2 linked regions of the Tamandua tetradactyla genome follow. The protein of the gene in region 2 purifies or fractionates together with the protein of the main gene of each other region. This does not show direct contact. Links are inferred from orthologs where the notes say so. Each region holds a gene or a part of one and is shown on either strand. Other genes may lie near its edges.

The links.
Region 1: the proteins of XPO1 (region 2) and ATP-dependent RNA helicase DDX19A fractionate together in Homo sapiens (co-fractionation; 3 studies listed by BioGRID, with this or other methods). This does not show direct contact. The link is inferred for Tamandua tetradactyla from reciprocal best matches to the Homo sapiens genes XPO1 and DDX19A.

The regions. Positions count from the first base shown.
Region 1 is NC_135342.1:68,588,684-68,599,817, reverse strand, and holds the start of ATP-dependent RNA helicase DDX19A, read left to right. Parts: upstream 1-5,916; 5' UTR 5,917-6,035; coding exon 6,036-6,092; intron 6,093-9,412; coding exon 9,413-9,461; intron 9,462-10,396; coding exon 10,397-10,447; intron 10,448-11,134. UniProt on the Homo sapiens protein: ATP-dependent RNA helicase involved in mRNA export from the nucleus.
Region 2 is NC_135343.1:34,215,967-34,227,034, reverse strand, and holds the start of XPO1 (exportin-1), read left to right. Parts: upstream 1-6,233; 5' UTR 6,234-7,055; intron 7,056-10,394; 5' UTR 10,395-10,400; coding exon 10,401-10,526; intron 10,527-11,068. UniProt on the Homo sapiens protein: Mediates the nuclear export of cellular proteins (cargos) bearing a leucine-rich nuclear export signal (NES) and of RNAs.

The sequences.
Region 1 (11,134 bases), on a different chromosome or scaffold from region 2:
GATGGCTTGTACAGTCCTTTGGGTTCCTGGGCTTGCATCTCTGTCTGGGTTACATGCAATTTGTCTCCTTGTTTTCTTCCTGTGTATTTCTTTGACTGCATCTGAATTTCCTGTGCCTTATAAGGACTCTAGTCATATGGATTAAGGCTCATACTGATTGTTTGGTCTCATCTAAATAAGATCTTTGAAAATCCTATTCACAAATGAGTCCAAACCTTAATATCTTCAAAGGTCATCTTAACAAATGGATTTGCAGCCACAGGAATGCACATTTAAAACTTGAACATGTCTTTATGGGGGACATTATTCAATCCCCAACATCCTCCCTTTGGAGTATAACACTAGCTGAGAGAAAGGAGTGTGCTACTATAGCAGAAAGCTCCCTGTTTCCCAGAACTTCCCTAAATATTGGCCAGTGGCTGTTGTCTTTGTCCCAGTTGGTGTAACATGGCTGCATCTCCCTGAGAGCACCCACTTGGCTTAAACAAATGCAGATCACCTCCCAGTAGTTGTAGTGGAATAAATAAAAGGAAATGTTAGAAAATGCCCTACAAATCCAGTGCATGCAAAAATCCTACCCTAATTCCCCCAGAGACCAAGTTTAGCTCTAGGAATTGTTTTGGTGGAAGCACTACAGGAGTCAGCCCCTCAATCCCAGAGCAGTCATGCTTCATAAGGAAGTAGCAATCAAAAGAGAGCTACGGGCATGCACACTTCAAGTTCTGCTCTTAACAGGGACTCCTGCCCCATAGGATTCACAGTTGTGAGAGATTCTGGTGTTGCTGCTTTTGCTTTTGATGAGAAGCTTTGGGATGTAGGTGTTTGAGACAAGAAAAGGTGAGAGGTGCCTCAGAAATTTAGTTTTTTTTGAAAAGGGATGATTAGGCTGATGTCATGGTTAGGGACAGGTGTCAACTTGGCCAAGTTGTGGTACCTGTTCATCTGATTGGGCAAGCGCTGGCCTGTCTGTTGCAATGAGGACATTTCATAGGATTAGGTCATGATCACGTCAGCTACATCCACAGCTGATTCCATTTGTAATCAGCCAAAGGGAAGTGTCTTCTGCAATTAGTGATGCTAAATCCAATCATGGGAAGCCTTTTAAGGAGGACTCAGAGGAGACAGGTTGCATTCCTGCTTTGGCTGGTGAGCCTCTCCTGTGGAGTTCATCCAGGCCATCCATTGGAGTCATCGGCTTTGCAGCCTGCCCTGTGGATTTTGGACTCTGCATTCCTACGGTCACGTGGACTCTGCATTCCTACGGTCATGTGAGACACTTTCATAAATTTTATATTTGCAAGTGTTCCCTGTTGATTCTGTTTCTCTAGAGAACCCTAACTAATACAGCTAATAAGGACCAGAGGACCATCATTCTACCCAGGAAGCCAATTAGCCATCTCCACAGGATTGTTGTCTGATGTAGAGTGAGAACATGGCACTGTGTCCTGATAAGTATGTAATCTTAAGGCAGTAGCATATTGGTGGTGAGGATGCTAGGAATTAGACTTGTCATATGCAAAGACAAGATATCATTTGATATCCTTCAGCAGCTGTGCGTGTGTGTCTATATATGCAGGTCCTCTGTTTTGATGAGTTGTTAGGAGCTGAGAAAACGTTCTTACCCCCTCCCCTCTTTTTTTTTCACAGTACAAATGAATTTATTACCACCTGTACTTTTTTTAAGCTTTGGTTTTGTTTTTCATTACATTGTTGTTGGGGATTAAATCATGTCCACCACAAAAGGTCAGTCAGATCCCAACCTTGGGCCTAGAATGTGAAGCCATTGTAGATTGGACCTTTGAAGATGTTATTGGTTAAGGTATGCCCAAACTGAATGAAGGTGGGCCTTGATCCAATATGGCTGAAATCACTATAAACAAATGAAATTGGACGTAAAAAGAGAAGCCACAGCATTCCAGGCAGCAGTAAGAAGAGGACTTATTTCCATACTTGGGGCCTCCATTCTTACCTGAATCCCCACAGCACAGGAATAAGGGCCTGCTCTGCACACCCTGGATTAGACCCTATGGCTGAAGAGAAAAACGTCTCCAGAGGAAACACAGAGGTCAAAATGGAGGAACCAAACCTTCAACCTGAAACAACTAGAAACTCCCAGGAAGTAAAGAAGGAAGACACTCAGAAACCAAAGAAGCCCACAGGTGGTCCCCATGAGAACATGGCCAGTGTTCCACCTTCCGTGTTCAAACTCCAAACCTGCACAATCCTCAGGCCCCAAGAAGAACCAGAAGATGCCAGGTTGGGCACACTGGACCCCGAACCCACCATGGTTCCCTCCATGCCCATATCCTGCCATTGTCCTGGAGGATAGCATCCCCCAGCAGCAGTGGTTGGCTTCCTCTGAATCAGATACAGATCCTGGATGGAATAACAATGTGAACCTTTTTCCCAATTTTGTTTGAGAGATGAACAAAATATCATAGATCCATTCATTCATTCAGGATCCCTTCCCTTCAACAAATACAATCTAGTGACAATAAAATTTGAAGGTCAACGAGAAAAAAAAAAAAAAAAGAGAAGCCACAGGGAGCAGCCGGAAGCTGGAAGTTAACAGAACCCTGAAGAGAAAGAATACACTGCCACATGTGTGTCTATGTGACAGTATAGCCAACAACTCCAGCGATTGTCGGCCAGCCAGAAGATATCGAACCCGAGAGGAAACAAGCCTTCTAGCTTCTGACATCATGAGTCAGATTTCTGATTTTGAGCCAACTGATTGTATGGTATTTCTTTTAGCAGCCAGGAAACTAAAGCAATTGTCTTATTTTTAATTGACATATACATTATATTAAGCACAATACACAGATATTAGGTGTACAATTCCATGAGTTTTGATCATTGCATCACCTGAGTAACAACCACCCCAATCAAGGTTTGAACATTTTCGTCACTCCAGAAAGTTCACTTGTGCTCCTTTTCAAAATCAATCCTACCCACTTCAGCCCATGCCCTGGCAACCATCGTTCTGATTTCTGTTGCTATAGATTAGAAATACCTATTTTGAACTTTTACAAATGGAGTCATGCACTGTGTACTCTTTTTGTGTCTGTATTCTTTCACTCAAACCTAATGTCTTTGAGATTGCGAATCACTCATCCATGTTGTTGAGTGTAGCAGTAGTTCATTCCTCTTTTGCTTTTTAATCAACTTCATTGAGAGGTATAATTTACATACTATAAAGCGACATGTTAAAGATACAGTTAATACTGTTAAAACCGATAACGTATTTTGACAAATGTTATATGAAACCAGGACCCCAATTCAAGATATAAAACATTTCCATCTTCCCAGGAAGTTCCCTTATGTCCTATCCACCTGTGCTGGTTTGAAACTGTTATGTACCCCAGAAAAGTCATGTTTGAATCCTGATCCAATCTTGTGGAGCCAGACCTATTGCTTAGGGTGGGAAACTCTGAATTGTTTCCATGGAGATGTGACACATGTAGTTGTGGGTGTGGCCTTTTGATGAGATGGATATGTGACTCCACCCATTCAAGGTGGGTTTTGATTAATTTACTAGAATCCTTTAAAAGGGGAAACATTTTGAAGAAACCTCAGTTGCAGATGCTTGGAGAACACTTGATTCAGAACTGACAGTAACACAGATGTTTGGAGATGCTTGGAGCACCAATAGAGAGAGCAGACACCTAGACATGGGCAGAGCCCAGCAGACATCGCCATGTACCTTCTCATGAGTTGCTAAGCAAGCCAGAACACAGAGTTATGTCCCAGAGGAGCTACTTGAAGGCCCATAAACACTTAGAGAGGAGACCTCTGGGATCAGAAGCTGGAAGCAACAGAGCAGAAACAAGAAATCAGCAGATGCCAGCCATGTGCTTTCCTGTGTGACAGACATCGACCTAGCTTGAGTCAAGGTGTCTTTTCCGGGATGCCTTAGTTTGGACATTTTTATGGCCTTAGCACTATAAACTCATAATGTAATAAATTTCCTTTATAAAAGCCATTCCATTTCTGGTGTATTGCAGTCCACCAGCTTTAGCAACCCAAAACACAACCTTAACCCCATCCAGAGGCAACCAGTGTTCTGAAATTACTATAGATTTTGTTTTACTCATTCTTGAACCTCATATAAATAAAATTAGACAGAATTTATCTCATGTCTGTTATCTGTAGCATAATGTCTGTAAAATTCATCTGTTTCATCATGTGTTATCAGTAGTTCTTTTTTATTGCTGAGTAGTATTCCATCGGACAAATATACTTCAATTTGTTTATCCATTCTCCTGTTGATGGACATTTTGGGTTGTTTTCAGTTTTGGGTTATTATGACTAAAGTTGTTACAAACATTTGTGTACAGGTCTCTTTGTGGACATATCTTTTCATTTCTCTTGGAATAAAATTGATGGGTCATACAGTAGGTACATGTTTAACATCTTGAGAAATTGCCACACAGTTCTACAAAACTTGTGCTATTTTACACTCCCTCTAGAAGTTTATGAGAGTTCCAGTTGCTCCACCTGCTTCTCAACACCTGGCATGTAAATATTTAATTTTAGCTATTCTAGTGGTGTGTAGTGGTATCTCACTGCGACTTTGGTTTACTTTTCCCCAATAACTAATGGTTTTAACACCTTTTCATGTACTTATTGACATATTCTCATTTTTGAAGTGTGTTCAAGTTATGCATTTATTTTGACACATTCTTCCACTGTATAGAAACTTATTCTGGAGTAATACATCTTAAATAAAAAGCTATTTATTGCTATATAAAAAGCTAATATAATAATAAATTAATATTTATTGACTCAAAAGGATAAATATTGTATGTGCCAGGCACTTTCCCGGGTTTACTAATTAGCAGTGACCAAGACAGATGAGATCTTTGCTCTTTTTGAAGACTTCATATGCTTTCAAGGAGAGACAAAAATATTTATCAGAAGCAACTAAATGGTTAATAATGACATGAGAAACCACGTAGTCTTATAATGTTAAATTTAAAATTGTATGTATACTTTTTGGGGGACTGTGTAAAATACCCCTGCTATGTTGCATATGGACAAAAACTGGAAGAACCCAGAAGGAAAAAAATGCTGTTCGTGTGTTTATAGAAATGATGGGATTGTGGGGATGAAGTGGTGTGTGTGTGTTTTCCATTTTTTCTTATGTGTTATCACTTCTAAGAGTAGAAACTAGCATCATATGGTATTCTGTTTCATGTAGCTTTCCTTTGTATAAAGCTTTACAGTTGTCAAAACACAAATCAGAATTGAGCGTGCAGATTATAGCATTTTATTTTAGACATCCAAAGTTTTACAGCAACAAGTCAGTCAGTTCACCTGCAAAAGTGAAAACAGCTGGGAGCTTCTTGGCCTTTTTATAGATACAAAACGGAAGTTAGCTTGACTCTTATTGATTGGACAGGGGCTTTTCAAGTATATATGGACCAGTTTGGGGCAGGTGGACATTATTTTGTATTGGGTAAAATATAAAGACTAGATGCTTGAATCGCTATCTGGGTCCCCTTAGTGGGGATTCAAGTTTCAAAAGATATCAAAAGGAAACTGAAGAAGGAGGTCAAAGAGTAAGTAGGGCATGGTTTTGGGTTTTTGTTTTGTTTTATTCTTTTGTAGGGCATGGTTTTTATGGTTTGGTTTTTTTTTTATTTTTTAGCTCTGAAGTGGTCCCAGGGCTTCCTCTAGATAATTTCATCACAGTTCAGAGACTCTACATTTACTATGAAACGTGGTAGTTTTACAACTAAAACTTCAGAGAGAAGTGAGAGAAGAGTTTTACTCAGCAGAGATATAGGACTTCAAGGTACAACGAGGAAGCGCCTCGCTAAATCCGGCGGAAATGACGAGTTTCTCAAGCGAGGAGGGAGGGCGGAGATTAGCCGCGGGCGGGGAATGGCGGCTTCTCGGGCCTGACGTCACTTTATCGCGCTGCTGCTTCCGGTCCGCGTGAGAGACGTTTTCTGGCCCGCGGATGGTTTAGGGCTGGTGCTGACGTGTGGTCCTTGTGTATTCCCTCGTGTTTGCCTTCCGCCCTTAGGACCATGGCCACCGACTCGTGGGCCCTAGCTGTGGACGAACAGGAAGCGGCAGTCAAGTCGGTTAGTTGCTTTAACTCAAAAGGGTGGTGAGAATATAGTAGCGGCTTAGGCGGACCCAGGTTCGAGCCCAGGGGGAAAGTGCTCCCGGGGCGAGTAGGCCTGTGGACATGCGCCCTGAGATTAAATCTTATTTGCGTCTAAAACTAAAGAGGCCAGTATCCCATTTTTTATTTTCATTTGGGCCAATTATAATTTTATCTTGTGGCAGATCTCTCCCTGCCACGTATCCTGTCTTTCCTGTATTGCACCTGTATTTTCAGGGTCGGTTTTAAGCAAAGGCAAATATAACGCGGATTCTCTTTATCTATTAAGCAACTGTTTTCAGTGTCCTAGGTAATTCATATTTTAGCATGTCTTGGATCCATGACTGGGTCTAATATGATTGGCAGCTTGTAGCTCTTCGCAGAAGAAATATGTTTCAACCTACTGTAGATGTTGGTGGGGTTGGGAGGCACTTCAATTTTTTTCATTGATGTTGTTTATAGTAACATTTATTTCCATGTACTGTTTACTCTTTGAAAGTTTCCAAGCTTATGTGGTCAAAGTTGTACTTTCAGAGTCTTTTCTGGCATATAAAAATAGATCTGGAGGGAAGAAAGAGAGAGAGAATAATGTATCTGGGAATCTGGGTTGGATGCAATTTGGGGAGTCCCAATGAAAGATAATAAAAATATGAATTGAAGTAGTAAAAATAGAAAGGACCTGATTGATGCCAGTTCATTTGTCCCTGACATATTTTCAGACACAATGTTTCCTTTACTTCCTCTGGCTATGTCACCAATTAAGTTTCTTTTCTTTCCAAGACTAGCAAATTAAAAAAAAAAAAAGAAACCCTAAGAATCTTTAGAGATATAACCTGTGACCTTTTTGAAATTAGAGCTGTCATAGAGATCCTGAGGTCCTCCATGAAGTCCCTTTTAGTGTCTGCAAGGTCACCTTTCAGTGAATCAGGGCCTTGGGAACTCGCATAATGCTAGCCACCCAGGCAGGAGTTATTTTATTACTTATGTTGGGGGAAAATACCTTTATCATGACTGAAAACCTGTGTCTAGTGTCAGAGACACTGCCTTTTGTGAAAGACTAGATTAATGATGAGAAGGTTGCTGCAAAGGGTGAATCCAGAGTGTAGAAAAATAGGGTGCTGATTGGCCTGCCTCTTCCCCATGCTGAAGTTACCTCTCTCAAAACAGGAGGACTTGACTGCCAGCACATTCCTCCTTGAATATGGCTGAGTAAATGCTGACAAGTTGTTGCCCTTAGGATCTCTTTCTCCAGCTGTTGAGCATGTTGCCTTTTGTTAACACATTATACAGATTGCGATATGTTAGATTCGGTTACAGTGTTCTTTTTCATCAGTCAGACTTCTCAAAGACTAATCAGCTTGTTTGGAATGGGGCTTCAGACTGTCTTAATCACATTTTCAGACGTTGCAAGAGTAATATGCTTCTATTGATCCCTATAGATCAATATATAGATATAATACAGATAGCCGCAGTATGAGGATTAGCTGATGGGTAAGTTCTTTTAAAAGATGCCTTGTCTTGTGTGTGCCAACTTTCCCATTGGCTTGAGAGAAAAGGCATCTGTCCCCAAGGAGGTATGTTAATCTGATTTTGATCTTTAAAAACTGGTTTCTTAAGAGATCAGATCAGTACTCTGCTGTATGAGGGTGGACCTCCTTTTCCTAAAGGCCAAGAGCAAGCTCAGGTTGCAGGGAGGGGGATTGGAGGAGGCAACATATTTAACAAAGTACAGTAAGCCCTCAGTGAACATTAGTGATGCTCTTAAGGATAATGAATTATGTCAACTAGGCTCTTGTGGGGAGCAGAGCTTGGGGCCTAGGGCTTCATTTGGGTATTCCGCACAACCTTTATAATATCACGAATTATTATTGCTATTATTTTTTATTAACATAGCAACATACAAACACAAACATTCTTACCATATGATCATTCCATTCTACATATATAATCAGTAACTCACAATATCATCACATAGTTGTGTATTCATCATCATGATCATTTCTTAGAACATTTGCATCAATTCAGAAAAATAAAAAGAAAACAGAAAAAAATTCATATACAGCATACACCTTTCCCCTCCCTTTCATTGATCACTAGCATTTCATTCTGCTAAATTTGTTTTAACATTTGTTCCCCCTGTTGTTTATTTATTTTTAATCCATATGTTTTACTTGTTTGTTGATAAGGTAGATAAAAGGAGCATCAGACACACAATTTTTACGATCACAGTCACATTGCAAAAGCTATATCATTGTACGATCATCTTTAAGAAACATGGCTGCTGGAACACAGCTCTACATTTTCAAGCAGTTCCCTCCAGCCTCTCCATTACACCTTAACAAAAAGGTGATATTTATATAATGCATAATAATAATAATCTCCAGGATAACTTCTCGAATCTGTTTGGAATCTCTCAGCCATTGACACTTTATTTTGTCTCATTTCACTCTTCCCCCTTTCAGTTGAGAAAGTTTTCTCAATTCCTAGATGCTGAGTCCCAGCTCATTCTAGGATTTCTGTCTCACATTGCCAGGAAGGTCCACACCTCTGGGAGTCATGTCCCACGAAGACAGTGAGTTTGTTTGTTCACACAATTATTCTTACCAACACTTTCAGTATAGGAAAATAATTCTCATGACATTGGAGGCTTGTTTGCAGACATATGAATTATTATTCTGTTTAAGTGTTCTGCTTAGTTTGTATTGACGAAGTGGCCAAGAGTAGATGAAAAACCATTTTGTTTACATTTTTGGAAGATTCTCAAATCAGGAACTTAGTTTATCAATACTTTCAGGGTAACAAGCTTTTGACTAATTTATATGTAGGTGGTTGATAAGAAAGAAAACTAATTTATTTAAGTGTTGCTTTTAATTAAGGGTGTGGGTTTCAGGGCTAAAAAGATAAAAGCTTGTTTGAGATATTTAGGTGGTATCATTCTTCACTGTATGTAGGAAGACTGAGTGTTTGTGGCATTGAAAGGATATAATAGATACTTATTTAATGAAGGCTAGATGTTGTAGAAAGAGCATTAATAGGGAGAGAAGCAGAGGTTTGAGACTATAGTCATACTTTTTCTCCCTATCATTACATTTAACCCACCCTCTCTTTTTATTTAGGCTGTTGGAGATATTTTAAGTGATGTTTTTATCCAGGCTTTTAGTAATTTACTAAACTGAGCAGACAAACAAAGCCCTCAAATACGGATGTTGAAATAGTTTCTGCTAGACTTTCACTGGGGAAAGGCCTTCTTTTGAGTGTGTAATTTGCTTAACTCTGTTTCCTTTTATTCCCAATCAGATGAACAGCTTGCAGATCAAGGAAGAGAAGATCAAATCAGATACCAATGGTGAGTGACTACAAGCTAGCTACAAGCTTCACATGCTGTTCTGTTTAGCACTCAGAACTGCAGTGTGCTGAGGAGCTTTCATTTATTATACACTTGGCATGTGACAGCACTAGATTTGAGAACCAGTATATTAAGTTTCATAACTGAAGGTGATATATATTATGCTCCCACATTTCCTGTAACCTCTGATTCTTTAAATCCTGTAATCACTACTGGAGTGTACTACCAGTGTTCACTTGATAATGTTTCTTTAATGTTTTTTAATTTAATTTTTTGAAAAAATTCTAAACTAACATCTGAAAAATTCTAATTTCTGGGTTCTAAACTCAGAAAGTAGAAAAAAGTGAAAGGCCTCCTTCCCATCTTGGTCCTCATTTGTCCTGTCCCCTGTATACACATACACTCCCATAAATAGCCGCTGTTCTTGGGTATTTCATGTATTTTCAAAGCTTCTTTATGCAAAGCAAATACCAATATAGATTCCCTCTTTTTTTAACCAAAAAGTGGCATAATATTCCTTTCTTTACTCAGTAATATACCTCAGCACGCTTTCCCAATCAGTGCATGGAATTTCCTTACTCCTTTTTATAACTGCATAATATTGCATTATGTGTGTATACCACAATTTATTTAGCCAGTCATTTATTGATAGATATTTGGGTTGTTCCCAATGTTATACCATTATAAACAGCACTTAATGGAATAGCCATGAACTTAAATCTTTCTTCATGTATATAAGTACGTTTATAGGACAAATTCTAAAAAATACCTTCAGTATTTTCAAAGTACCATCCATAGATATTATACCAATTCATATTTCTATCACAAAGCATGAGAATGTACATTTCCCTACAGCCTCACCACAGAGTTTATACTCAAGCTTTTGGGTAGGTTTGATATTTGCCTTTCTAGTGACAATAACTATTCTTTTGTAGGTATTGTCAAAACCAATGCCACTGCAGAGAAAGCAGATGAAGAAGAGAAAGGTAATGCCTATTTGAAGCCCTATGGCAAGAGGTGAAGTATGACATAGGACTTGCCTTCCTGGATCCCAGAAACACTCTGAGATAAATGTAAGATCAGGGAGATGAGGAGGAATAAGGAAAGGAGATTCTCACTGTGAGATAAGAGGAGAACCAGAAGTGTGTGGTGTCCCACAAGCCAGAAGAAGAAAGTGTTTCAAAATATTAGGTAATAAGTAGAATAAAAGAAAAACTTAAAATTGACCTTTAGATTGATTTGCTAAGGTGGAAATCATCAGTGTGCCTGATAAGAGCTGTTGAGGTAGAGTAGGAAGGTTAAAAAGTACTACTCAGTATGTGTTCAAGGGAAAAGGGGAGGAGAGGCAGTGGGAATAGGTACAGATAACCTTACGGGGACTGCTGCATAAGAGGGAAAAGAGAAACAGGGCAGTGACTGGATGGGGATGTGGGGTAAGGGACGAAGCAGAGGTAATGTGAGTGAGGTTAAAGTATATTCACATGCTCATGGAAAGGAGAAACTGACAATGCCTGAGAGGGCCAGTGTCAGGAGAAGTGTTTTTGTAGGCCCGAGAGGATAGAATCTGTTGGGCACATAGTGGGTCAACCTTTGGTAGGAGCACTGGCTGTTCAACCATTGTCTCAGGAGGGAAGGAGGAGAATGGGCATAAAGGCAGGTAGGTGGGTGGTGAA
Region 2 (11,068 bases):
GAGTCACAGAATATCATATCTGCTAGCATCTTTTCATCAACATTAATTTCCAGGACTTCATTTCATTGCAAAGGCTAAAAGAGATTAATGCATGAATTCAATAAATATTTATTAAGTATAACTAAGAACTTGGCACAAAGCCATTACCTTTAAGGAATTTATGGTTTGATGAGCAATTGGGATCCTAATTCTTTTTTTTTTTTTGAGCTCCTAACTCTCTACTATCCTACCAACTAATTCCTCCTGAAGATTTCCCCATCTCAGAAGATGGTAACTCCACCCCTCCAGTCACTGAGGCAGAAATCCATTGCTGAATTCTCCCTTTCTCACACATCCCAATCCAATCCTTTAGGAAGTCCTTTTGATTCGACTTTCAAAACATTCAGAATCAGAACACTTTTGTGGCTACCACACTCCTCCAAGCCAAATCAATTCCTGGATTATTTAAGGGTCTCCTAACAGTTCTTCCTACTTCTACCCTTTGGTCCCCCAGGCTGTTCTCATCTCCACAGCCAGAAGGATCCTGTTAAAATTAGAAGTCAGGATGGCTCCAGAATCCATTCAGTAGAAAAGGCACGGGGTTCATAATGGCCTATCCTAAGGCCCTACAACCTGCCCCCCATCCTGTCCCTTTATTGCTCTGACTTGTCTTTCTCTTGTTCAGTCAACTCTGATCACAACTCTAGCCTCCTTGGTGGTCCTTAACACTTAGAGGTGCACTGGTAAATGTTTAACTACCAACTCTCAGAAAAGATGGCTTGATTTTTAGCTAACTTCCATGGTGTAAATACTCCCACTATGGCTGATTTCAAGCTCCCCAAGGTGATGTCATGCATTGCAGAGTTGTGAAGAGACGTGCAGCAGCACACCATTATATGGTATTTCCATCAGGCAGATACAATAGACACAAATAACTCCAAGAAGATAGATAATAGTAAAATGCACTAATAATTAGATGAGTTTTTAATATTTATTATTTTGCTTTTAATGTAATTTATCTCACAGTAAGATCACATAATTTAATTTTTTAATGGCTGTGCTTAACAACCAATTTACAAAATTCCTGAAAACTTAACAATTGGCTCCACCATACCACTGTAAGTAACACACTAAATATGTTTCTGCCTCAGGGCCTTTGAACTTGTTTTTCCACCTGTCTTCTCCCAAATTATTGGTAAGGAATTCCTCCCTCTTTTCCTTCAGGTCTTTACTTGAATGCCACCTTCTAGGCAATACCTTCCCCAGCCACCCTAAAAGTGTAACCACCACCACCGCCACACATTGCATTTCCTACCTTGCTTTATTTTTCTTATTTTTAACCTTAGCACTTAACATCATATAACACATTATTTCTCTGACTTATTTATATTATTTAATTCGTGTGTCTTCCATCAGACTAGACACTCAATGAAAGCAAAAATTCCCACAAGATTTATTCTCCATTGAACCCTTAGCACTTTGAACACAGACTAGCAAAGAGTGGGCTTTCAATGTATTTGTCGAATGAATAGATTAGTGTTACGCCTTTTCATGTCTTTTATTTTATTTCATTCATTGTTTCTTATTGCCTAATACATAATGGACTGTTTTTGTGAGTGAAAGAGATGACATATCTTTCCAAACCACAGGCATCAACTGTACTTTCCCTGCTTTATTTTACTTCTTATATACGTAGACCTATAATCCCAGCTTATTATTATTTTTAGCTTGGAAATATTTCTTGAAAAGCAACTCTATAGCTTCCCCTGGCCTGTCTGAGAATGGTCCTAGATAAATGATACTTCATCTCTCTTTTCTCCATGATTAAGAGAATTTGTGACCTATTGATGAGCGAGGAGAACAGTACGAATTTCTCAGAACATCAAGCTATAACTCCTAGATTTAGCAGCCTTGCCAAACACTTTTTCACTATGTTCTCAGGAAGGCAGCAACTCATTTTCAGACAATTGCTGATTCTGCTCCTGATTGATTCGAAGTTCTTAGACACCATGTAGATAGTTCATTGAGGTCTTAGTGACACAGCCTTTCACTCCACCGACAAAATATTCATGATTTTCCATAAACATTCTCAACACTGTCAATAAGAATAGGGTTGCAACCTGAATTAAGACATCCCAGGTCAATTGTTTCTTGAAAAGGGTATCCCTTTCCTCCCTGCATCATACTTCAGCATCAGATACAATTCTATTGGTGACGAAGTTAAATCGGCAATGTTTTTGAAATCTAAGTATGTGATGCTGTATACAATTTTGTGAAGTATTTTTTAAAAGCAAATAAAAAAACTATCTCCTAATAAGATATTACAGAGAAGCATTTTGTCCAGTGCATCCCTTCAGATCATATGAAGTTAGACTCCTTGGAAGAAAAAGCCCAGTGAAATACAATTTGAGCTCAATACCCGAATATGTGATTAGTTAGACTCATGGTATTTTTAGTTCAAGTGCCTGCTTTTTATCTCTGGTTGGAAGAAATCTATGTTGGAAGGCCACTACTATATCCCTCAGAAAAAAGTGGTATTAATTTCCTCAAAAACAGTGAAAAGACCAATGCCATTATTAAAGTAATAGATTTATTGCTTATCTTTTCCTTATTTTTCTTACTACATTACATGTGCATTTAATATTATTATTTATATATTCCTTGAGGAATGCAGAGTCATTGATGTTGCTTTCACAGCCCAAAGGTCAAATGTATATGCAAAGATTGCCCATTTGAATCATCAGACTCTGTTTGTGACTATAAAGAACTTCCTTATAGATATGTATTATGATCTGATCATCTGTTTAGGAAACAGCAAATACCGATGGGTTTTATGTGAAATAAACAGGCACTGTTCACACATTTTGTTTGATATGTAAATTGATAACATCTTCCAATATTTATAACAATAACAAATATATGTACCTTCTGAAACAATAATTCCACTTTTAGGACTTTAACCTAGAACTATATTGACATTTGTGCACAAGGATAAATGTACCAAGATATTCGCTGCAGCATTATTTGTAAGAGAGAAAACCAGAAATAGCCTATAGGCCTCGGCGGAATGGTTGAATCAGTTACAGTACCAAGACAAGGTGGAAGACTATGAGGCTGTTAACAAGGATGAGGTGGATTTACACATTCTGGCTTGTTGAGTAAAAAGTAAGTCACTGAATATATGTAGTATGACATCATATATGTTGAACAAAACACAAAGCAAATATGTTTATAAATGCTTAGAAAATATCTCAAAGTATGCACGGTATTCTGTTAATGATTATCTCTGAGAGTCAGAAGGTTGGGGGAAGTATACGAAGGAGGACTTTAAATTTTTACTGTAGTTATGGACTTCTCTTTCTCTTATTTCTAACAATGTTATTGTTTTGTGAGACAATGTTGAGTAATAGAAAGACCAGAAATTTAGTTCTAATAGTGATCCAACCACTTTGGGGTGGTATATGTGTGTCGGAGTGGCAGGGGAGAGAGTATGTTAGAGAGAGACAGAGAAAGAGAAAAATCTACAAAATAATAACTCTCTCACAAAACTGCTGTGAGAATTCAGTGAAATACTGTACAAAAAGTCCTAACACCCTGCTAGATACCAGATACACATTCAATATGGTTTATATACATTTCCCTATCCATATCTCACTCTAAAGTTCAAAATCTGTTTGCTTCCAACAAATGAAAAAAGTACTAGACAATTAATACGTCAGACCTCGTGTTTCGATTTTGATTCTGAAAATATGATCAAACTCAATTATCTGCCCCACTCTCTTTTTTTCTTGTTTTTTTAACTCACTTTTAAGTTTTTAATTTATTATTAATTCAAAATATTTTATATGATGTTTTAGTTTGTTAAGCTGCTGGAATGCAATATACCAGAAATGGAATGACTTTTTAAAAAGGGAATTTAAAAAGTTACAGGTTTACAGTCTAAGTCCATGAAAATGCCCAAATTAAGGCACCAACAAGAAGTTATCTTCATTCACGAAAGGCTGATGCCAACCAGAACACTCCTGTTAGCTGAGAAGGCACATGGCTGGCATCTGCTGGTCCTTAGCACCTAGGATCCTTGCTTTCAGCCTGTTTGCTGTGATTTCCTCTTTAAGTGTTTATGGGCCATCACTTAGCTCCTAGAGAATATAACTCTGGGTTCTGGCTTGCTTAGCATCTCCTGGGAAGGTGCATGCAAGTCAGTCCTTTTTGTAGTTGTTAATTAGACAACAAATTTATTTTGAATGTACCATTTTCTGCCACAAACTCTTCAGCTAACCCCAGGCAAAAGATGAACCAAATATTTACATCTGATTCACTATGGTCAGACAGATATGACCTCTTGGGGTGTGATTTAAAGATAGGATGAAAAGGTTAAAGTTGGGGATAGTAAACAGAGACTATCTGAATTTTACAATCCACAAAGTGCTTTATGATTTACACTGTTCCCTTGCTAACATTATTTCATTTGATTCTCAACACTAATTCTGTGAGAGAGGCATGGAGAATGTCAGCCTCATTAAATGGGGAAGAAGGAAACTGAGGCCCAAAGAGGTGAAGTGACTTGCCCAAGGTCACATTCCAAGTAAAGCCAGGTCTTACTCCCAGCTGTTTTTATTCCTACTATGCTTCCAATCTCAAAAATCAGGACCTTGTGGCCTGGTTCTAGAGCTTAAAATGGTGGGAGGGTGAACATTTTTAAAACAGGACAGTCCCAGTTTTTCTGGTAATAGAACATAAGTATTCCAAATGATCAGTATATATCACATACATTATATCTTATACCATATATTACATATCCTCTGGATTAGATTTGTTACGATTTGATATGATTCCCTTAGACAATGAATAAACACTCTATGTCTGAAACTCATCCAATATCATTTTGGTAAATCTAAGTGTTGGGTTGTTTTTGGGGTTTTCTGTAGTGGAGGGGCAGGAGTCATTCTTAAGTGGTGCTATTAGCCATTGCTCATTGTTTGCATTTACTGAAGAAAACTCCGTTGGTTTAATAAACTATTTATCAACCTCTTGGTGGCAGAGCGGGCTCAGTGAAAGTTTTGGTGGGCTGTTCTCAAGCAAAGAACAATTAGCAAAGCTGATTTGGAGGGCACTTCAGGACAAACAAGAGGTAACCACGTGAAAGGCCACGAGCGTGTAATTTTCATAGAAAATACCATTTGATGATGATGAAGTTGTGAAGGGCATCTAAGCTGAAAAGAAAAACGGAGAGTGGGGGCAGATCAAGGACACCAGGTGGGAGGCAGTTGGTATGCAAGTTTAACAAGCAAAAATAAACGCTGTTAAACCAATTGCCGGGGTACAATTAGTTTTTAGAATGTACTTCTAACCAGGCAGGGTTGGTTGTTGAAGCAGCCAAATTCCAGCCTGAAGAGACATAGCGCTAACATTTAAAGAGACTCGTGCCCAAGAACTACTCGGGTATCTTTTTCAGGATAATGAGATTACCAAGCGCAGGGGGTACACGCCCCACCTTATCCAGACCTCTTTCACGGTTATTCTCACCCTCAACTCTCTGGCCCAAACCCACTCTTAAAGTGGGTTAAAGTGGTCCGGGGCCTACAATCGGCCTCCGATTTTTACAAAAAATTTTAACCTTTTTTTCCCACCCCTCCCGATTTAAAAAATAAATTTAAAAAAGGCGTGCCCTCCGTTTTGGGAGCGTAGCCCGCATGCGAGAGGCGGGTCAGATCCCCGCATGACCAGGCCCCCCGCAGGTTGGCGGGAGCCGGAGGGGGCGGGTCGGCGCAGGTCCGGGAGAAGTCAACCCAACGGAGCCGCGCGCCGCGAGGAGACTCGCGCAGCCACCAGCTCCCGAGCTGCGCCCCACCCTCTCCGTCACCAAACGCGCCCAGCCAATGAACGGGCCGGAAAGGCTGAGCCTGCGGGCAAAGAACTGGGAGGGGGAGCCGCGGGAGGGGGAAGGGAAGTTGGGGGGCGGGTTGCATTTGACTGACAGCTCTCTTGAACCAATCCTCCACGCGGCGTCGCTCTCTCCCTTCTCTGCTGGGCTCAGCTCTATGCCCCACCACCTCCTCCTCCACCCCCCCTTCTCTCTCGCTTTCGACCCGCCCCACTTCCCCTCCCCCACTCTGCGGGCAAATCGCTGCTGGAAAGAGGCGGGGGCCGAAGCGGCGGGCTCGTATGGAGCCTTGAGGTGGGACTGACGGGCGATCAGGCCAATGAGAGCTAGAATGATGGCGCGGCTGTGGCTGGAACCGACCAATAGGCGGGTGGGCTGGGGGCGGAGGCCCAGGTTCCAAACGCTCCGCGGCGCCATGGGCTGAAAACTCAACCGAGATGGAATCTCCCAGTCTGAACCGGTTTCAACCGGTTCCGAGTTTGAGGCACTAGGAGGAGGGGGAGAAGCGGCTGCAGCGGCCGCGGCAGGAGCAGCGGGAGCTACAGCATCAGCAAGAGCAACAGTAGCTACAGCCCCGGCGGCGGTGCCTGTTCCCGTCTTTGCTGCTGCAGTCCGTGCAACCACCCAGAGGGGGAGGGGGGAACCACCAGCCGCTGAGAAGCAGGAGAAGGGGGGAAAGTTTAGGCGAGCCTGGGTGGGGGGGCCCAGCGCCGGAGCCGCGTGAGAGAGGGAGCCGTATTTTGGTGGTGGGGGGAGTCGGACTGCAACTGGCAGCAGAGCGTCCCCCCGACCGTGTGGACTCTACACCCCCTACTCCTGCCGCTCCCGCTGCTGCCTGTGGCTGGAGGGTCCCCCTGGGGCTGAATCTTTGGGACTTGACCCCGTTCCCCTCCCCCTTCCCTCACTCCCCGGCCGGGCGGGAGCATTTGTTCCACAGATTAATCCCCTTTCTTTTTTGGGGGGGGGGGGCGGGTGTGTGTGTGTGTGTTGGGGGGAGGTGCCCCTGAAATAGTAAATATTGTTCAGCTTTTTTTTTTTTTTTTGCCATTTTCCTCTCCTTTTTAAAATTTTTCCTTTTTTAAGGTGGGAAAACTGAGAAACCCACCTTGATTTCCTCCCCTCTCCCCCTTCCCACCTTCCCTCGCCCTAATTCCCCGAGAAGGAAGGAAGAAGCAGTTGGTTCAATCTCTCGGTAAGTCGACTGTGTCTTCGGGGCCGAGGGGCGGGAGGCGGTGGCCCGGCGGGAGGAGGCCGGCGTGGGGCGGGCGGCGGCCGCGGGAGGCGAGCTTGGGAGGCGGCGGCGGCGGCGGCGGCGGGCCGGGGGCGCGCCGGGCCCAGAGAGGATCCTGCGATTGAATGGAGCCTCTTCTGCCGCTGGGGGATGCAGGCGGGGAGGCGGCCGCGGGAGGGGAGCGCCTGCTCGGTCACTCGCGTGTGCGGGTGGCCGTGGAAGAAGGCAAGGAGCGTGGTAGTGGAGCGAGGCCCTGCGCGGGAGTGGAAGAGAAGTTGGGGTGATTTCAGGAACATCTCTAAATTATCAGGAGTGGAAGTTTCCAGAAATATTTAGTGCAGCAGCATTGAAACGTCCGCCTGCATCACGTGGCCCGCTCCAGTGGAGAGCTTGGGATCTGGCGAGGGAGGGGCTGCCGAGTCCCTGTTCCTCCTGCAAGGAAACTCAAAAGCTTTCTGGCTTTTATCAGAGTGGGATGAGAAGTAGGAAAGATTAATTTTTTTCACGGCTCTGTGAGCGGGGTTCCGTGTTGTACTTTCTTGTTCCGACATGAGAGTGTAAAGAGATGGAATCGTTTACTGCTGGCATTGTAGAGTGTATGATGCCCTGATCCTCCTTCATCCCGATGTCTCCCAGTTTGGGGAGGTGGGAGGAAGTGGTGTGGTAGAGGAAGCATGAAATATTTGCCGAGCCGGGACCTCTGAACAGGCCGAGGCCATGCTGCATAGAGAACGGGGCGGTGAACTTAAGGCTGCTGGTCTAAAAGCCTCCTCCGAGTATGGGCGGGGTGAGTGCGTGCTCCAGTATGCTATAGTTAGAAGTGCTGCAAATCGGTTCGAGTGGGAAGCAAGGGAGGGCGGGCCTTAATGAGGTGTGTTTCTACTGAATGAAGCAGGCGATTGCCCATACACCTAAGTAGCAGTCTGTTGCCTTGTAGCGACTTGTTTTTTGACCTGGTGTGAAGTAATCATAATCATTAAGCAGTGGTTATGATTTTCTAATTTTTGGATGGTACCTGGCAGTGTGTACGCTGCCTGCCTAGTTAGTTTGAAGTGGCAGTGAACATGTTTTGGTAGTCACTTGTAGAGTCACAACTTTGCTGGATAATCCCTCAAATGTGCTATCCAGTGAGTGGATTTTAGGATTGAGGGCCCAAGGAGAAAAGAAAGCATTAGTGGTTTCTTCCCACCCACTATAGCTGTTTACTAACTGCTTGGTTGTATATCTTGAGCGGGACACTGCTGTTGTGGAAAGAATGTTTTGGAAGCTGTTTGATTTGGGGTACTAAATGTGCTTGGCGTTGACCACAAAGCCGCCATGTCTGTATTAGTACAGTTCAAGAATAGGTAGGTCATTTTGAACATAACCGCTAGTTCTAATAATGGCAAAACTATTGTATTTAAAGGCTCCTATTCCAAACGTGATTTTTCACATGACTGTAGCTAGGAGAATTCTGCAAGGACAATGTACTTGAAAGTGAAACTTTTCACGAGTTACTTGATTGATCCTTTTTCTATTTTAGCTTTTTAAAAACTGACAGCTAAATAGGGAGAAAGTTCTTTGCATTTTTAACCAAAATAATTGAAAACTTATTTTTGATAGGCTTTTCAGTCTCACGTTTTTAAGATTGTTCTGTGGCACTTGAAGGGAATTGCTCATTTATTTGTGGAATGTGTTTCTTTTTTTATATTAGCTATTTAGACCTAAAGCATTTATTATGGTGTATATAACAGACATGGTTTTTAAAACATGCTTGCTTAATACCTGCTATGAACAATTTTGAAATCTCGTAAGTTTTAGTTGCCACTAATGAACCATAAGACTTCAAAGGAATAAAAAATATCCTTGAATTATTACTTGATTTTTTTAACATTATATCTAATTTAAATAACTAATTTTTTAGATTTCTAGTTTGTTGTAATTAAAATTATCTTTAAAATTTTTTTTAGTTAAACTACTGTGAAATAGTCAAGAAATAACACATTTTTCATATCAAGCTAGTTTGTCCAAGGTGGACTCAAGCAGTCAAATCCTGGTAATGAAAAGTTTTCAAGAGGGGTAGAAGTAGAGATGACCATCTGACCTTGTTTCTCAATAACACTAAACCAGGGTTTCTAAACTTGAGGTTTCATGGGTGACTTTCAAGGTGTCCTAAATCCTTTGTAATTGTTCACGAAATTGTCAGTTTTTATTGGGTAAGAGCTATAGTGTTCTCTGATTCTAAGTCATCTTGACCCAAAAAAGGTTAAGGACTACTGCTTTAACTAGACAGACTTGAGTGGCATTAGCTTTAAAGAGAGAAATTGGAGAGACGATATTTTATAATGCCAGGCAGCAAAAATGTGGGTATGTGCCAGCATTGTAGAGTTGAATCCTCTTAAAAGGATAAAATTGCATATAAACCAGTAGATTTTAATCAGTATATTTATTTGAAGTTAAGTAGTTCTTGTTATGATAAAATTTGCTTTTGTTTGGAAAATAGTTGGCAAGTTTTTATGCTGCCGAAGAATACCTGTAAAATTTTTGAAATCTTGTTTGGCACATTGCCATAAGTTTTGTTCCTATATCATGTATAGAAAAAATTGCTAATCTTGTATGGTAATTTTGATCCCAGATTTCATTGAGGGTTGAAAGTAACAAGTATAGATGATTTTTATGGAGTGTAGAAGCGTAAGTTTTATAGAGGTGTTAAGTAAGGGAATTGGTACCAAAATTTGTTAGTCTTGTAGTTCCTGCTAATCATTGTTATGTACAATAGAAAGTCTTATATATCTGCATTTAATTTTTAATATCTCCTGCCCTTTAAGCATATCTTTAAAAATTAAGATAATGTGAAATGAGGGAAAATGAGCTTTTACTGAATTCTGTAGAAGGACCCTACTTTGGGAAGAACAAAAAACCATCTACTTGAACATCGTCTCTGTTTACAATTTGAGATCAAGATTTTGAACTTTATCCATTTATAGGGCCATAAAATTCTAAAAATGGATTTGATTTAAAAATAGGGTAACTGTTTACGTAAAATACTAGTAAAACAGTAAGTTTTTCTCTAGTTTAAAAATAGACACTTAAGAAGTTGGACGGACCCTAATAATTTCTGCAGTTATGGAGTAGCTAAGTAATTTCAGTTTTATTTGTTTTTACTATCTCAATTGTTTTATAATAATTAGATAAGTTCCTTAAAGTGGTTATTAAAATGTTGTAATAACACAATTGAAGTAAAATAACTTTTGAATAGAAATTTTTGGACTAATATCAAAACTTCATAGGCAGCTTCAATTTTCTTTTCTTTCTTTTCAGTAATCTATGCCAGCAATTATGACAATGTTAGCAGACCATGCAGCTCGCCAGCTGCTCGATTTCAGCCAAAAACTGGATATCAACCTTTTAGATAATGTGGTGAATTGCTTATACCATGGAGAAGGAGCCCAGGTAAAGTAGCTGACCGAAACTTTATAACATAATTCCAATGTTCAGAGTTGCTGGATTTAGAAATTTCTAATTATCACCTTTTACAACTTCATTCCATAATTTATATTAATTTTGGAATTGTGTATTCACTGTAATGATTGATTTGGAGAAATTGCAAATAGGCTTTGTCATGTTAAGAGTAGGATGTTTTTGGTATGTTGTTAACTAGTCCTTTTTTAAAAAAACTTTTTATTTTTAAATATCTTCAAACTTACAGACAGTTGCACAAATAGTAAAACCCCCACAGGGAATTTCAACCTCCTTTCCACTCTCCTGTGATTCTGTCCTTCCTTACTTCCAAAATCTTTACCCCGTTTAATAAAAGAGCCCAGTCTGTTAAATGCTTTATAGATATGAAAGATTATATATGTACCTTTATATATGATTTTTCAATTTTTTGAAACATTAAGTTACAAAGGTACTTAACAGATAAAAACTGGTTAAGAAAAAAAAATCCAGCAATATGAGCAACTTGTGTTATTTGAATTTCAATACTTGTTAAA